Linked DNA regions of Coturnix japonica. Each later gene encodes a partner of the first gene's protein in a complex. Links are inferred from orthologs where the notes say so. Each region holds a gene or a part of one and is shown on either strand. Other genes may lie near its edges. The genes, in order: PARD3, PRKCZ and CDH5.

What was found.
Region 2: PARD3 (region 1) and PRKCZ share a complex: the UniProt entries of both Homo sapiens proteins name them as parts of the par polarity complex. The link is inferred for Coturnix japonica from reciprocal best matches to the Homo sapiens genes PARD3 and PRKCZ.
Region 3: the proteins of PARD3 (region 1) and CDH5 are in contact, whole or in part, in an NMR structure (PDB 2KOH), measured with the Mus musculus proteins. The link is inferred for Coturnix japonica from reciprocal best matches to the Homo sapiens genes PARD3 and CDH5. Residues at the interface, in NP_296369.2 of Mus musculus: Ala599, Gly600, Leu601, Gly602, Val603, Ser604, Val605, Lys606, Gly607, Arg609, Lys611, Lys622, Ile625, Asn655, Gln656, Met659, Arg663, Met666; in NP_033998.2 of Mus musculus: Tyr774, Gly775, Asp777, Gln779, Glu780, Glu781, Leu782, Ile783, Ile784.

The regions. Positions count from the first base shown.
Region 1 is NC_029517.1:11,840,900-11,844,888, reverse strand, and holds the start of PARD3 (partitioning defective 3 homolog), read right to left. Parts: upstream 2,801-3,989; 5' UTR 2,697-2,800; coding exon 2,577-2,696; intron 1-2,576. UniProt on the Homo sapiens protein: Adapter protein involved in asymmetrical cell division and cell polarization processes. Seems to play a central role in the formation of epithelial tight junctions. Targets the phosphatase PTEN to cell junctions.
Region 2 is NC_029536.1:1,552,995-1,556,698, reverse strand, and holds part of PRKCZ (protein kinase C zeta type), read left to right. Parts: intron 1-1,192; coding exon 1,193-1,282; intron 1,283-1,613; coding exon 1,614-1,664; intron 1,665-3,704. UniProt on the Homo sapiens protein: Calcium- and diacylglycerol-independent serine/threonine-protein kinase that functions in phosphatidylinositol 3-kinase (PI3K) pathway and mitogen-activated protein (MAP) kinase cascade, and is involved in NF-kappa-B activation, mitogenic signaling, cell proliferation, cell polarity, inflammatory response and maintenance of long-term potentiation (LTP).
Region 3 is NC_029526.1:10,029,479-10,033,770, reverse strand, and holds the start of CDH5 (cadherin-5), read left to right. Parts: upstream 1-1,312; 5' UTR 1,313-1,327; coding exon 1,328-1,450; intron 1,451-4,292. UniProt on the Homo sapiens protein: Cadherins are calcium-dependent cell adhesion proteins. They preferentially interact with themselves in a homophilic manner in connecting cells; cadherins may thus contribute to the sorting of heterogeneous cell types.

The DNA.
Region 1 (3,989 bases):
TCACTTCATCTTTCTCTGCAAACAAAACTTGGGGAGAAATGGATCACGTTTCAGATACAGAGCTCCCTTTGGAACAAAGGCAAGGGATCACAGAGATTTCCTGGACACAAAGCACTCCACACGCAGCCCACCATGTTAGGAAGTCATTCCACACATAAAGATTTAGTACCAACAGCTGTGTTAATCCACGCTGAACTTCTTTGAGGTGTACAAACCCCAACCACAGATAGCAGATTCCACAAGAGGCTGCAGCAAGTAGGTGTGTCAGCCATGAGCTAAAATGTTTCATAAAGAGGAGAACCTCACTACCATCTCCATTACCTGAATATATACTCTCCTCACTTCCAGCACGTGGCCTCAGTAACAGAGTTCAGGTAGCTCTGGCTGAGGCCAGCAGCAGCTCCGACCCTCTCCCAGCAGCACGGCAACACTGAGCTACCAGACCTTGGGCAGGATGAGGAATGGTGCTTTGCAGTCAGCATGAAAACCATACATTTCATTAAACTATTCTGAATACTGTTCCACCACAAAGGCATTTTCCACAGCAGTGGTTCAGGAAAACTCCGTGTCAGTGTGGGGCCAGCTGCGAGGGCCCTTCATCACACACACACCTTCACTTCTCAGTGCAGAAATCACTTTGTCTCCTCCCCATCTCCCTCCAGATGGGAGGGTTGCTCCCTGGCTACACTAGTGCTACACTAACACTACACCAGCACTGGAAGCAACCATGTAACTGCTGGAAGGAGACAGTAACCCATGAAGCCCTGCCCCTGGAATCATACATTTACAATGTTACCCATGCACATATGGGAGTCTCTGGGATCCATCCCAGGTAGCACTGAGGAAAAGCTTTGCTGAGGTCAGGTTAAACACAAAGTGTGACACTGGCTGCAAAAAGCACCCACAGAGGAGCCTGTGGATGCTGCTGCTAAGTTTTCAACCACATTATTTCCATATAATAGAAACAATCTCAGTAATTACGGCTACTCCAGCCCATACCCGTGGCACTCTGTGTAACCGCCGTATAACTGCTAATACCTGCAGCACCGCGCCACGTAAAGCAGGGCAGGGAGCTGGGGGAGCCAGGCTGTGACTATCTGCAAATCTCAGGCATCACAATACTTGATATTTGCCAATGCTGGAGCACTGAAGAACGAATTCTGCAAATGCTTCTCACACAAACGGCCCAATGAAGCCCTCGGTGCTCCCACAGGATATACTTAGGGCCACTATGCTGTACCCACAGCATGTGTGCACACACAGCGCCTGCAGCATGCAACCAGTGACCGTGCAGCCCCATGCCAGGCAGCCCCTTACTCTTTTCCTAGCCAGAATCGCCACTGCTGCAGGAGAATAAAAGTGCAGCGAGCGTTTCCTGCTTTTATTCTTCCAAATCAGGACCCTCAGGAACAGAGCAGGGAGGAGATGGAAGCCCCAGTGTCCCCCCACCATGCGGCACCCAGAGCTCCCTCTGAGAACACCGATCTCAGACATCTCCCGGGATCCCACCCACCGCTTCTACCCACAGAGCTCTCCCAGCCGAGCTGCAGCTTCAGAGCTTTCAGGTCGGCGTTTGCCAACATAAAACTCCCAGATCTGGGGGAGTGAGGACCAACTGAGCGGCTCAGAAAAGCTGCACACAGCGCTTCAACGAATCGAGAAGAGGAAAGGAGAAGGGATGGCAATTTAGCTTCGAGAGAGAGACTTTGGTATAGTCCCAGTCAACGGCTGGTTAAAAACTTTGCAGCAACAAGAAGAAAGTACAAGAAAAAGAGCGGAGAGACGCAAAAGAGCAGTTCCAACAAATCTGTGGCAGGGAAACCGAGCGTGTAACCGCCGCACAACCACAGCCGAGATTTCAACATGGGGCTTTAGGAGGCCGGCACGGACAGCGTTCGGGCTCGGCCCCACCGCAGGCCGAGCTCGGGGCTCCCGCACCCCGCGGCCGCCTCCAGCTCTCGGGGCTCCCGCGTACAACCGGAGCCTCGCAGAGGCCGCACGGGGCCCCGCGGAGCCTCGGCCGGAGTGGGACCGGGGGTTCGGCCCGGGGGCGTCCCTTTGGCGGACTCCCCCCGCACCGCCTCCCCACCGGGCCTGGATGGCCGGGAAGCCTGCGGCTGGATTTCCAGCGGCTCTCGCCTCGGCTCCGCCACCCGCCCGGGGCAACACCGGCCCCCGCGCCCCTCCCCGGCCGGGCCGGGCCGAACAGCCCGCCTCGCCCCGCGGCAACGGCGCTCCCGGCGGCGGCTGCCCCGCTGCTGGGCACTAACGAACAAAGGGCCGAGGCCCGCCAGGCGCCCGCGGGGAGCCGCGCTCTCCGCCCGCCGCCGAGGGGCCGCCGCAGAGAGGCCGGCGCCGGGAGGCCGGTCGAGGGGCCGCCGCCCCCCCCTTCGTGTTTCCCGCGGCCGCTCCGAGCGCAGCTCCGCTGGGTTGGTTGCTTGGGGCCGCCGCCGTCCGGACCGAGGCCCCGCGGCCGCCGCCCCGAGCGGGGCAGCCCGGACTTTCCCCCCTTCGCTTCCCTCCCCGCTCCGGGAAGCGCCATATTGATCGCGGGCGCCGCTCCCCGCGCCCCTCACCTTGGCGATTGCCTTCTTGTACCGGGTCACCGCTTGCTGGATGAGGTTAAAAACTTTCATGTTGCCGTCCCCGCAGGGTACGACCACCCGCGTCCTCCCGAAGCACACGGTGACTTTCATCCTGCGTGGCCGGGGGGATCCCGAATCCCTCCGGCCCCGCGCAGCCTTCCTCCTCTTCCTCCTCTTCCTCCTCCTCCGCCGCCTCTCCGCCCTCCGCCACGGCCGCCCCCCGGCGGGGCGCGGCGCTCAGCCCCCGGCCGCCGCCGCCGCCGGACTGTCGCTGCGTGCGCCCCGCTGCAGGGGTACGAGCAGGGGACCGGGGTAGGGGTACGGCAGGACGAGGGCCGCTCTCTGCCTGGCTGGGGGAGCTCGGCAGGCCGTGGCCGCTCACATGCCGCGGAGCTGCCCGCTGCCTGCGGCCACCTGCTCGGCGCCTGCCCCGGCGCGCAGCGGCGGCGGGCGGGGCGCGGCGCTGCCTCCCCGCTCCGGAGGAACGGGGCATTGCAGCGGGGCGGGTGCAGCCGGACGGCGCCGCGGGGCGCACCGGGCAGCCGAGGAGCAGCGCTGGCACCCGGTGGAGGTGGGGTGGCCGGCCCGAGCCCTGGCGGCACCGCTAACCCTGCAGGAGCTGTTCCCCCCGACACCAGTTGGTCCGCTGAGAGGAGTGGGCGCAGCCGGCTGTTCCTCTCAGAGCATTGCCTGCTGCTCTTCCGCCACTAATCTGAAGGATGAAACTAAGGCGCTAAACTGCAGAAAGCATGGAAACAGTATCTTTCCACTTTTCTACCTGACTTTTGTGGAGAGCCAGGTGGTCTTCATGGCCCTTCGTGTTTCTTTTAGCATGACAGAACTGGCATAGATACACAGGAGAAAACCAATGTGTCATCAGGCTGATTCTAACCGACCTGGGGCTGTTTAGCCTGGAAAAGTCTCCAGGGAGACCTAATAGAGGTCTTTCAGTAACTACAGGGATGCTGTAAGAAAGAAGGGAACACCCTCTTTAGCAGGGTCTATTGGGACAGGATAAGGAGAAATGACTTCAAGCTAAAAGGGGGGAGATTTAGATTGGATATAAATAAGGGTTTTTATACAGTAAAGGTGGTGAGGCACTGGCACAGGGTGCCCAGATTGGTGGTGGATGCCCCATCCCTAGAGAAGCTCAGTGGGACTCTGAGCACCTGATGGAGTTGTACATATCCCTGTTCACTGTAGGGGGTTGGACCAGATGGCCTTTAAGGGTCCCTTCCAACTCAAGCAACTCTATGACCAATGTACATGAGCATTAATGAGATCGCTGAGCAGTTTACTCCCCAGAGCCATCAAAATGCTTGGCAAATACCTCTCACATTTTTCCATGGATTTCATTTAAGACTGTGGAGCTGCACAGTTCACTGAGCACTTGGTGTGGCCAGA
Region 2 (3,704 bases), on another chromosome or scaffold:
CCAGTCTGGCGCAAGGCAAAGTGTATGTAAGATATGTCATGTCCAGAAGAAGAAGATGATGGGAAAGGATTTTCTGTGTGGGGAGAAATAGTATGAGCCATTATGTTAACAAAGTATGGAGTTCATAAAGTCGTGCTGAAATCATTTGTTGGGCAAGTCTCTGCTGCCTACTTTCTTTCTGCAGGAAAGGCTGATGTTGGCAAGTCTTGTTCCAAGTTATCCCTGCATGTAAAGGATTTATCAGTGTGTTTCTTCAAAAAATAGTTGAGAAATTTCCCTTTTCTTTACCCTTCCTGTAGGCTCTGAGATGTCATCATGATGTGAGATGGTTTTCATTATGTCTTCTTGCTGCAAAATGTGGCATTTCTCTACAGCCTTAAGTTAGATAGAGCCTTCTGGTTGCTGTGAGTAGGAGCGGGATGGAAGTGCTTGGCATTGTGTGCCCTTGCTACCTGTCTGCTTTTCTTAACAACTCAGATATCTGCTTATGACTCTCAGGTGTGATGCAGCTGTAACTTGTTATGGGCAGATCTCTTGGCTAGTAGGTTATTAACAGCTGCCTTGTGATTATACAATTGCACTAGCACTCAACTTCATCTGAAGGCTGACAAACATGTAGACAGCTATACAGATTTCAGTTTGTTGTTTCATTGCTGTATGTATTAGTCTAATGAAAAGTAACTTGATAAATGCCCACAGAACACTGCATGTGTTTTGAACTGCATGATGGCTGATGAAAGGGAGATTCAGGTAGCACAGGAGGTTGGGTTTTGTTGAGGGTGGGTGTCTCCATTTAGTTTACTTGTTGGTTGAGTTACTTATTAGGCTGTTTTGGGATACAAAGGAGGCTAACATGTTGCTGTTGCCTTTGAGTGCATTTAAAAGCTTGTTCTGCACTGATGAAGTGTGTGGGTGCAGAAAACAAACAACAGAAAAGGTTGTAAGTGTGTATCCATAACATTCACCTGTGTTTATTTGCTGCAATTCAGTCATAGATTGCTTCTCTGAATCTAACAAAAGAGACTCAAATCTGTGTGCACCTTTATGTAACTTGTTCTTACATTCTGTATCTGATCAAAGTGCCTGATACATTTCAAGTGACTGACAGAAAACAGTCCATGGGCTGATGCTCAATGAAGTAGCCTACTCAGTATTTCAGTTATAAATCCATATGTCTTGTTTTGCTCCTCAGGTGACCCATGTACCATCTCATCTCAGATGGAATTGGAAGAAGCCTTCCGACTGTATTGTCAAAACAGAGAGGAAGGGCTGATTATTCATGGCAAGTATTATACAGTTTGAGACCTTGTGTGTATTTGGAAAACATAACAGCTTCAGATTAGAACAACTTCTGCCTGTCAGATAGCATCCTTCTATGCCTGGGGTGCCCTGTGCTCTGGTACCATCAGGCTGAAGGGTTCTGTTGGCTGTGGAGTTCACAGCTGGCACCATGGTGTGGGCTTCAAGTTCTGAACCCAGATCTGTGAATGCAGGCAGTGCTGGCAGTAGTTGTGATTGCAGAAAGTTTTGGTTTTGAGTAACTGTATTCAAGAATCAGGTGAATAGAGCTGCTGAGAGTCTTCTCACTTAAAGGCTTCATGTTTTATTTCCAGTTTTCCCAAGCATTCCAGAGAGACCTGGCATGCCTTGCCCAGGAGAAGACAGTGAGTACCACAATGCTACCAGATTCCAGCTTCTATTTCTTCAACTGTACAAAAAAATACATTGAAAGCTTTTATAAGCTGGTTTTATATATGTGTATTTGTTCTGTGGTTTTCTACAATTAATATGTTCAGTATTTAACATATTACTATGAAGTTTCTCTACTGATACTGTAATGTTTCTAAGGATTAGTACTGGTTTCCAGTAGCTGGGAGGAAAAGAGGTCAGGATTTAATGTGGTCCCTACTTTTGCATTTCTTTTATTTCTTAACTTTTGGGGTAACAAATTGATGTATGTAAGAGTGAAATGCACTATTTTTTCAATTTATTTTACAAAAGGCTTATTTGGTCATTGAACTCCTTTAAAAGGTGGATAAGCCTCCACTATGCTATCATCAAAAAGAGTGAGCTAACAGGAGAGATTTCACTGCAAATAAAAGTTTGTTGTGATTTAATGTTCTCATTAGAGATGTGGATATTTAGAAGAAAAGTGGTTTTGATACTGATTTGTAGGTGTTTTTAATGACTGTGGGCCATCAGATGAGCTCGAGGAGCATCAATTAGCATGGTACAGGTGACCTGTGTGCTCCATTTGTAGGGTTGAGCTGTTCTTTGTTTAAAATGGCTGTTCTGTTGGATGTTCTTAGTGATTTGTGGTCTGATTTCTCAGTTAATGGGTGAACTTGGAGCCTGTTGCTTCTTTGTGTCCACGGGACCTACGTGCAAATCTGTTATTGTGGCCTGGCAGTAAATATTTTCAGACTGTTTTTACACCAGAGCTGTTAAGCCGCACCGGTGCTAATTTAGAGTATGCTAATGCATTCAGCATTACTGCTTATTACTTGCACATGTACAGCAAAGATCTGCTTTGCTCTTGGGCTATATGGAAATGCTACTGATTCACATGATATTGTTTGTTTAAAGGCCATGCAAGGGAAGTAGATTATCTCAGTAGCACTTTAACTTCTTATGCTCTAGAAATACACCTAGGTAAAAGACCTGAATTAAAAATATGACTTTGTGCTCAGCTCTTTGCTCTGTGTTTAATGGGAACTGGGAAGTTAACAGGGCTCAAATAGCGTCCTTTGCTTAGAAATGTACAGCATGTTTCAAAGTGATGTTTCATCCTTTGGAGTAAGAGTGCAGAAATATCCGAGTATTTTGTGTTGTGTTGAAATCTAGTAATGAAACTTTGTGAAACTGATGTGGCTTTGAGGCTGTGCCAGCCAGTAAGGCCTGAAATAAACACATGTAATCCATTAATGAAATAAGGAATGCAAATGCCATTGTAATTTCAGTCACGTGGTGTAAGAAGTTCTTTCTGTGCTTGAAGAAGCTCCTTATTTTGTTACGCTGCTGTCTGCAACGTGGAATAACTGCGGATTCTTTAGAGTCAGATTTGTACAGACTCTTTTTCTCCTGTGTTATTCACCCCTCCTTGATTTAGCTCCTCCCATGGATGTACAGCTGCTGTAGGAGCAGCACCTTCTGCCTTGGGTGAGGCAGTGCATCCCTGGCTGGGAATGGCAGAGCTTCTGCAGTGCCTGCAGCCCTTACCAGGCTCTGGATGCAGCTCAGGGGCGTTCCTGGCAGCTGCTGCCTGAGCCTCAGTCCTTGGTTGGTCCTGGTGTTCCCTGATTAAAAATGGGGGACTTGGCTGCCAGTCTGCTGTATTTAAAAATACTCGTGGAGTATAAATGAGCTTTCGTTTGGGAACTGACATTAAACAGGGCTGTTTCTGAAATGTTTATCTATTTCTTGTCTGTGCTCGTAAGCGAGGGCCGTCCTGATGCACGCGTGGTTTCTGATTGGCAGTTTTGCTAATTATTGTAGTTTCAGCTTATTTATACCGACAGATTTTGATCTGATTTATTCCCCTTGCTGCTGCAGCACGTTGTAGAACAAAGCGCGTTTAGCTGAACAATTCCTATTGATTTGTCAGACTTCCCGAACGGCATCGCTGGTTTTATCAGAGAAATACTTGTTTTTGTGACATCAGCTCCTTGACATCCATGCCATGTTTTAGTCTGTGCCTCAGCTGC
Region 3 (4,292 bases), on another chromosome or scaffold:
CCTCTTCGACCATATTTTCAGTTCACAGCCTTCCTCTGTACTTCCCACAGCTCTTAAACCCCCAAGTCAGCAGGTCACTTACTGAAATGCAAGCAAAGCAGTCAGGAAGCTCTGGGAGGGCATTAGTGTAGGTTTCATTACTGCTTTCACCATCCTTAGTTCACAGCTATTCACACACTGGTGTGGAGGTAGCTTTGTTTCTTAAATAATATATATGTATTTTTTTAAAGGCCAATATCAGTGCTTGCCTCCCTCATTTTTACCTAGTTCTGTGTCAGAAACAACAGAAAGACCAGGAGCCCTGTCTTGCTGCCTGCTATCAGTCTGGCGTCCTTTGCTCGCTGCTGACCATGGGCTATCTAATCAAAAGAAAAGAATCTTCAACATACACACCATATTCACGGTTATTATTGTTTAAAGGGACTATAAATAACAACAAATAAACATTTTTTCATCTATGGAAGAGGTGTCTGACCTGCCCAAGGACTCCATCCAACCATCAGATGCAGTTGTATTTTCTACCACCTAAGAGAGAATTGTTTGGTATGCTGAAGAGATGGAAAAAATCATTATTTTCCCCAGACTCACCAGAAATGTAGAGCTGAAATCAGAAAGAACATACAGAAAGAAAAAAAATGCTTTTTTTTCTTCAGAAAAAAACATGAGGTAACAAACTGTGGGCCAAAATCAGACACAGAACAAACTCCTCAGCTCCGCTGCGGAGCTCCAGTGCTAAGAATACAGAGAATACAGAATACAGTGCTCACTCAATACAGAGTGATGTGGGATTTTTTTGCAGTTGCACATTTGGTTAAAATACTGCTGAAGCGACTGTTCATTCAAAGCTACTATCACAAGTATAAAATGCCATTTAATAATCAGCTTTCAGGCAGGCATTTGCAGTCCAGATTGTTTAGTCATCAAAGTGGCTATTTACTTGAAGGTACTATCATGCATATAAAAAGTCATTTTATAATCAGTTTTCAGGTAGGCATTTGTGCTCCCGGCTGTTTAGTCATCAGTGGAAGCCACTTCTCAGGTGTATAAAGCCGACATAAGGACAATCAACACCATAATACTAGGCAGCCAGGCACCAGGCACATTTAAATCAGCTCAATAAGCTGGAAACCAAAAAGCAGCACAATGTTCTCAGGAAAGACCCACTTTAGAATGAATTATTGTACATTGTTGAGAGTATGTGACAAGACAGCTTTAATCAGAAACAAGAGAAGCGCAGAGGAATAATTTACACAAAGAAGAGTAACAAGAAATGCTCTCTCCGAGTTAAATGTTGCACAACCTCCCAATGTGTCACTGAAGGTTGAAGATGTGGTTCCCATTCCCACTGAACTCACTATGTGTCCTTAACTATTCTCACCCTGTAAACTCACTGGAGCAAAGGAGGACTGCTTTTTTGCAATTTAGAAGCCACTCAGAGCATGCAGTGCAGGTAACAATTCTATCTGTGTCATTACTTTGCTGCCTTGTCTCTCCGGGTTTGTCAGAGCAGGTTAGAGCAATGTTGTCTAATTAGGAGATCAAAAAAATTGGGAGAAAAAAATCCAAGTCTGCTGTTAGTGCTGACCTCAGTCCATGACAGGAGATGGCAAAGAAATTTAAGTCCTCTGTGCTTCAAAGGTACCTTTTGAAAGGGATACAGCTTTTCATCTAGCAGCAGTGCTTTTCACAGATCTGAGAAGGTTTTATCCATTCATGTTAGCACAGCCATTTGCAGTCCCTGAAATGCAGCAGTAAGTACTGCTAGGGCTACTTTCTTCTAATCAAGTTTTGTCTGCTTACCAAACATGCTCCTTCTGCAAAGCACGCATAGCATGCATTAATCTACAGGCACTGCAAAGATGATTTATCTTCCTTACATTTGGTGGTTACTTTTCTATTTCTTACTGCCTACTGTATTCAGAAATTCACATTTGGTCTTACACATTGTATAAATGAGAAAGTAACAGTAAAACTGGGCTCTGTAAGGCAGAGTTGTTTTGTTAGACAAAAAAAAAGTTGTTTTGTTGAGTCAACCTGCTCTCATTAAATCTAATGTGGCTTCATTAAGAATAGCAAGTGTCCAGATATTGAATCAAAGTAAAATTTTTGCACCTGAACAACATCTAATTTTGAAGAGTTGGCAAATTCAGCAGAATTTTCACACAGAGCTGCCTAGGGAGGGGACAGGGAAAGGCTTATAACAATACTTGTGGTAATACAGACCTCCCCCTGGAGGGGAGTTGCCAGTACTGTGTAACAGAATATAACCTGTCTTGTATTATTCACTTATCAGTCATTTTCTTATTTTTTTCTACCCTGATGAAACTCTCAATTTCAAAAGAGATTTTTCATTTTCATTTACACTGTTCAGATTCCGACCATGATACTGTAAACAAAAATAATCATTAAGTTTCCAGCTCAACAATCAATAATCATTTAGTTTCCAGCTTTTTATAACAATCAGGTATGCAAATTATCTGAATATAAAATTAAAAAAAAATAAAATTAAAAAAAAATAAAATTAAATTTAAAAAAAAAACAAAAAAAACAAAAAAAAAAACCATGGGAAGAGTTATTACAGGGGATCAAGAAGGGCTTATTTCTTCCCTGGTGTATAATAGTGACTTCCAAGCAAATTCCTCTCTTAGGATATTTTACATCATTACTTCTGTCTTGCCTGGAAACAAATGCCACAAAACAAAAGCTCTCTAAGAATACCTTAATCTGATTAACACCTCAGTTTAGCTACAGATGTCTGCATATTTATCAAAGTCTTCATGTAGAAAAGTGGTTTAAGTTTGACTTAACATACAAGCATAGAACAAGATTTGTAATTAATTAACCTAACCTCACATAAGCACGAATAGGTAATTTCAGAGCAAGAATTAAGCCAAGTAAAAGGGAAATACCAGAAAAAAAATAAAATAAAATAAAATAAAATAAAATAAAATAAAATAAAATAAAATAAAATAAAATAAAATAAAATAAAATAAAATAAAACAACAAATGTTCATTAGAATATTCCATCAAATGTATTTTCATTGAATGGACACTATTTATCATCAGACTTGTTTGATTACTTACTAAAATAACCTGCAAAATGCAAATTTCCAATCAGTACAGTATTACCTGCATCTTCACTTGATTTTTCTTTAATAATTACTCCCAGTCTGCAAGAAGAAACTACACTGTACGTATCAGGTGTCTTATAAATCAGTCTGAACACCAGCATCTCTCAGTTAAATGTCTACAGTACCCTGCAGAACAAGTTATTTTCTGAAATAACTCAATACATAAAATGAATAATGCTGGTGGAAGAAATATCATTCGCTGTAAGAAAATTTAAGAGCATAACAAGAAGTTTAAGTATTTGAATAAGCCATTCCCCTGCTAACTTGGAGGAACACTTACAGTCCTTGCTTAAATTAAAAAAAAAAAAAAAAAGGTTTGAATTATTAGTAAGAGTCAGAGTGCAGCAGGACCCTGCTTCCAAAGTGTCTGTATGTGCTGCCAATAAAGGGCACCCTGAAATACTGTGATGAACAAAGCCACAGATCCAAGAGGGTTTTTAAAGTATGCTTTAATCAAGACTTGACATTTGAGCTATAAATGTTTTCTGCAGGTCTATAAAATTATTAGTTGCAGTGAAACGAATGGCAGCTCAAGCAGGCAGTGCTGTCCTCAGTTTCACCTGCTAACCTCATCACAGCAAAAATCCATGAGATCCCACAGGACCACAGCAATGAGAGGAAATGGCAGCTGAAACACTACCATCTGTTTTTCCTGAAGTACAGACTGTACCAGCTCACTTTAGCCAAATGGTTTTCCTTTGGTTACCATGTTTTGTAACTTTATGAACAAAAGATGGAGCACAGCAGCATCAAATTCAGTGCCTGACAGTTCCAGCTGTAAAATATTTGGGATATACGGATAAAATAAAGCAAAACAACTGTATCTTACTCATTTTTTTCTAGGAATAAGATAAAATAAAGCCAAAGTAAATGCACAGAAGAGAAATAAATAGCTGATTCAAAAAGTTTTATATAAATCCCTAAAACTGTACAAACCACAGCTCAGCTATTAAATAGCAGCTTTGAAGGCAGCCTATTTAGTCATCTCTTACACATCACAACATTCTGCAGGTCATGCACAACTGTAAAGAGAGCAAAATTTCACAGTAAATAAATCTTTTTACTGATAATGATGCTGCAGCACAGGGTAACACTGATTACCTAATTAGCAAAGTGTGATTTTGAAAATCCCAGCAAATGATGCCAAAGATATTAATTTAA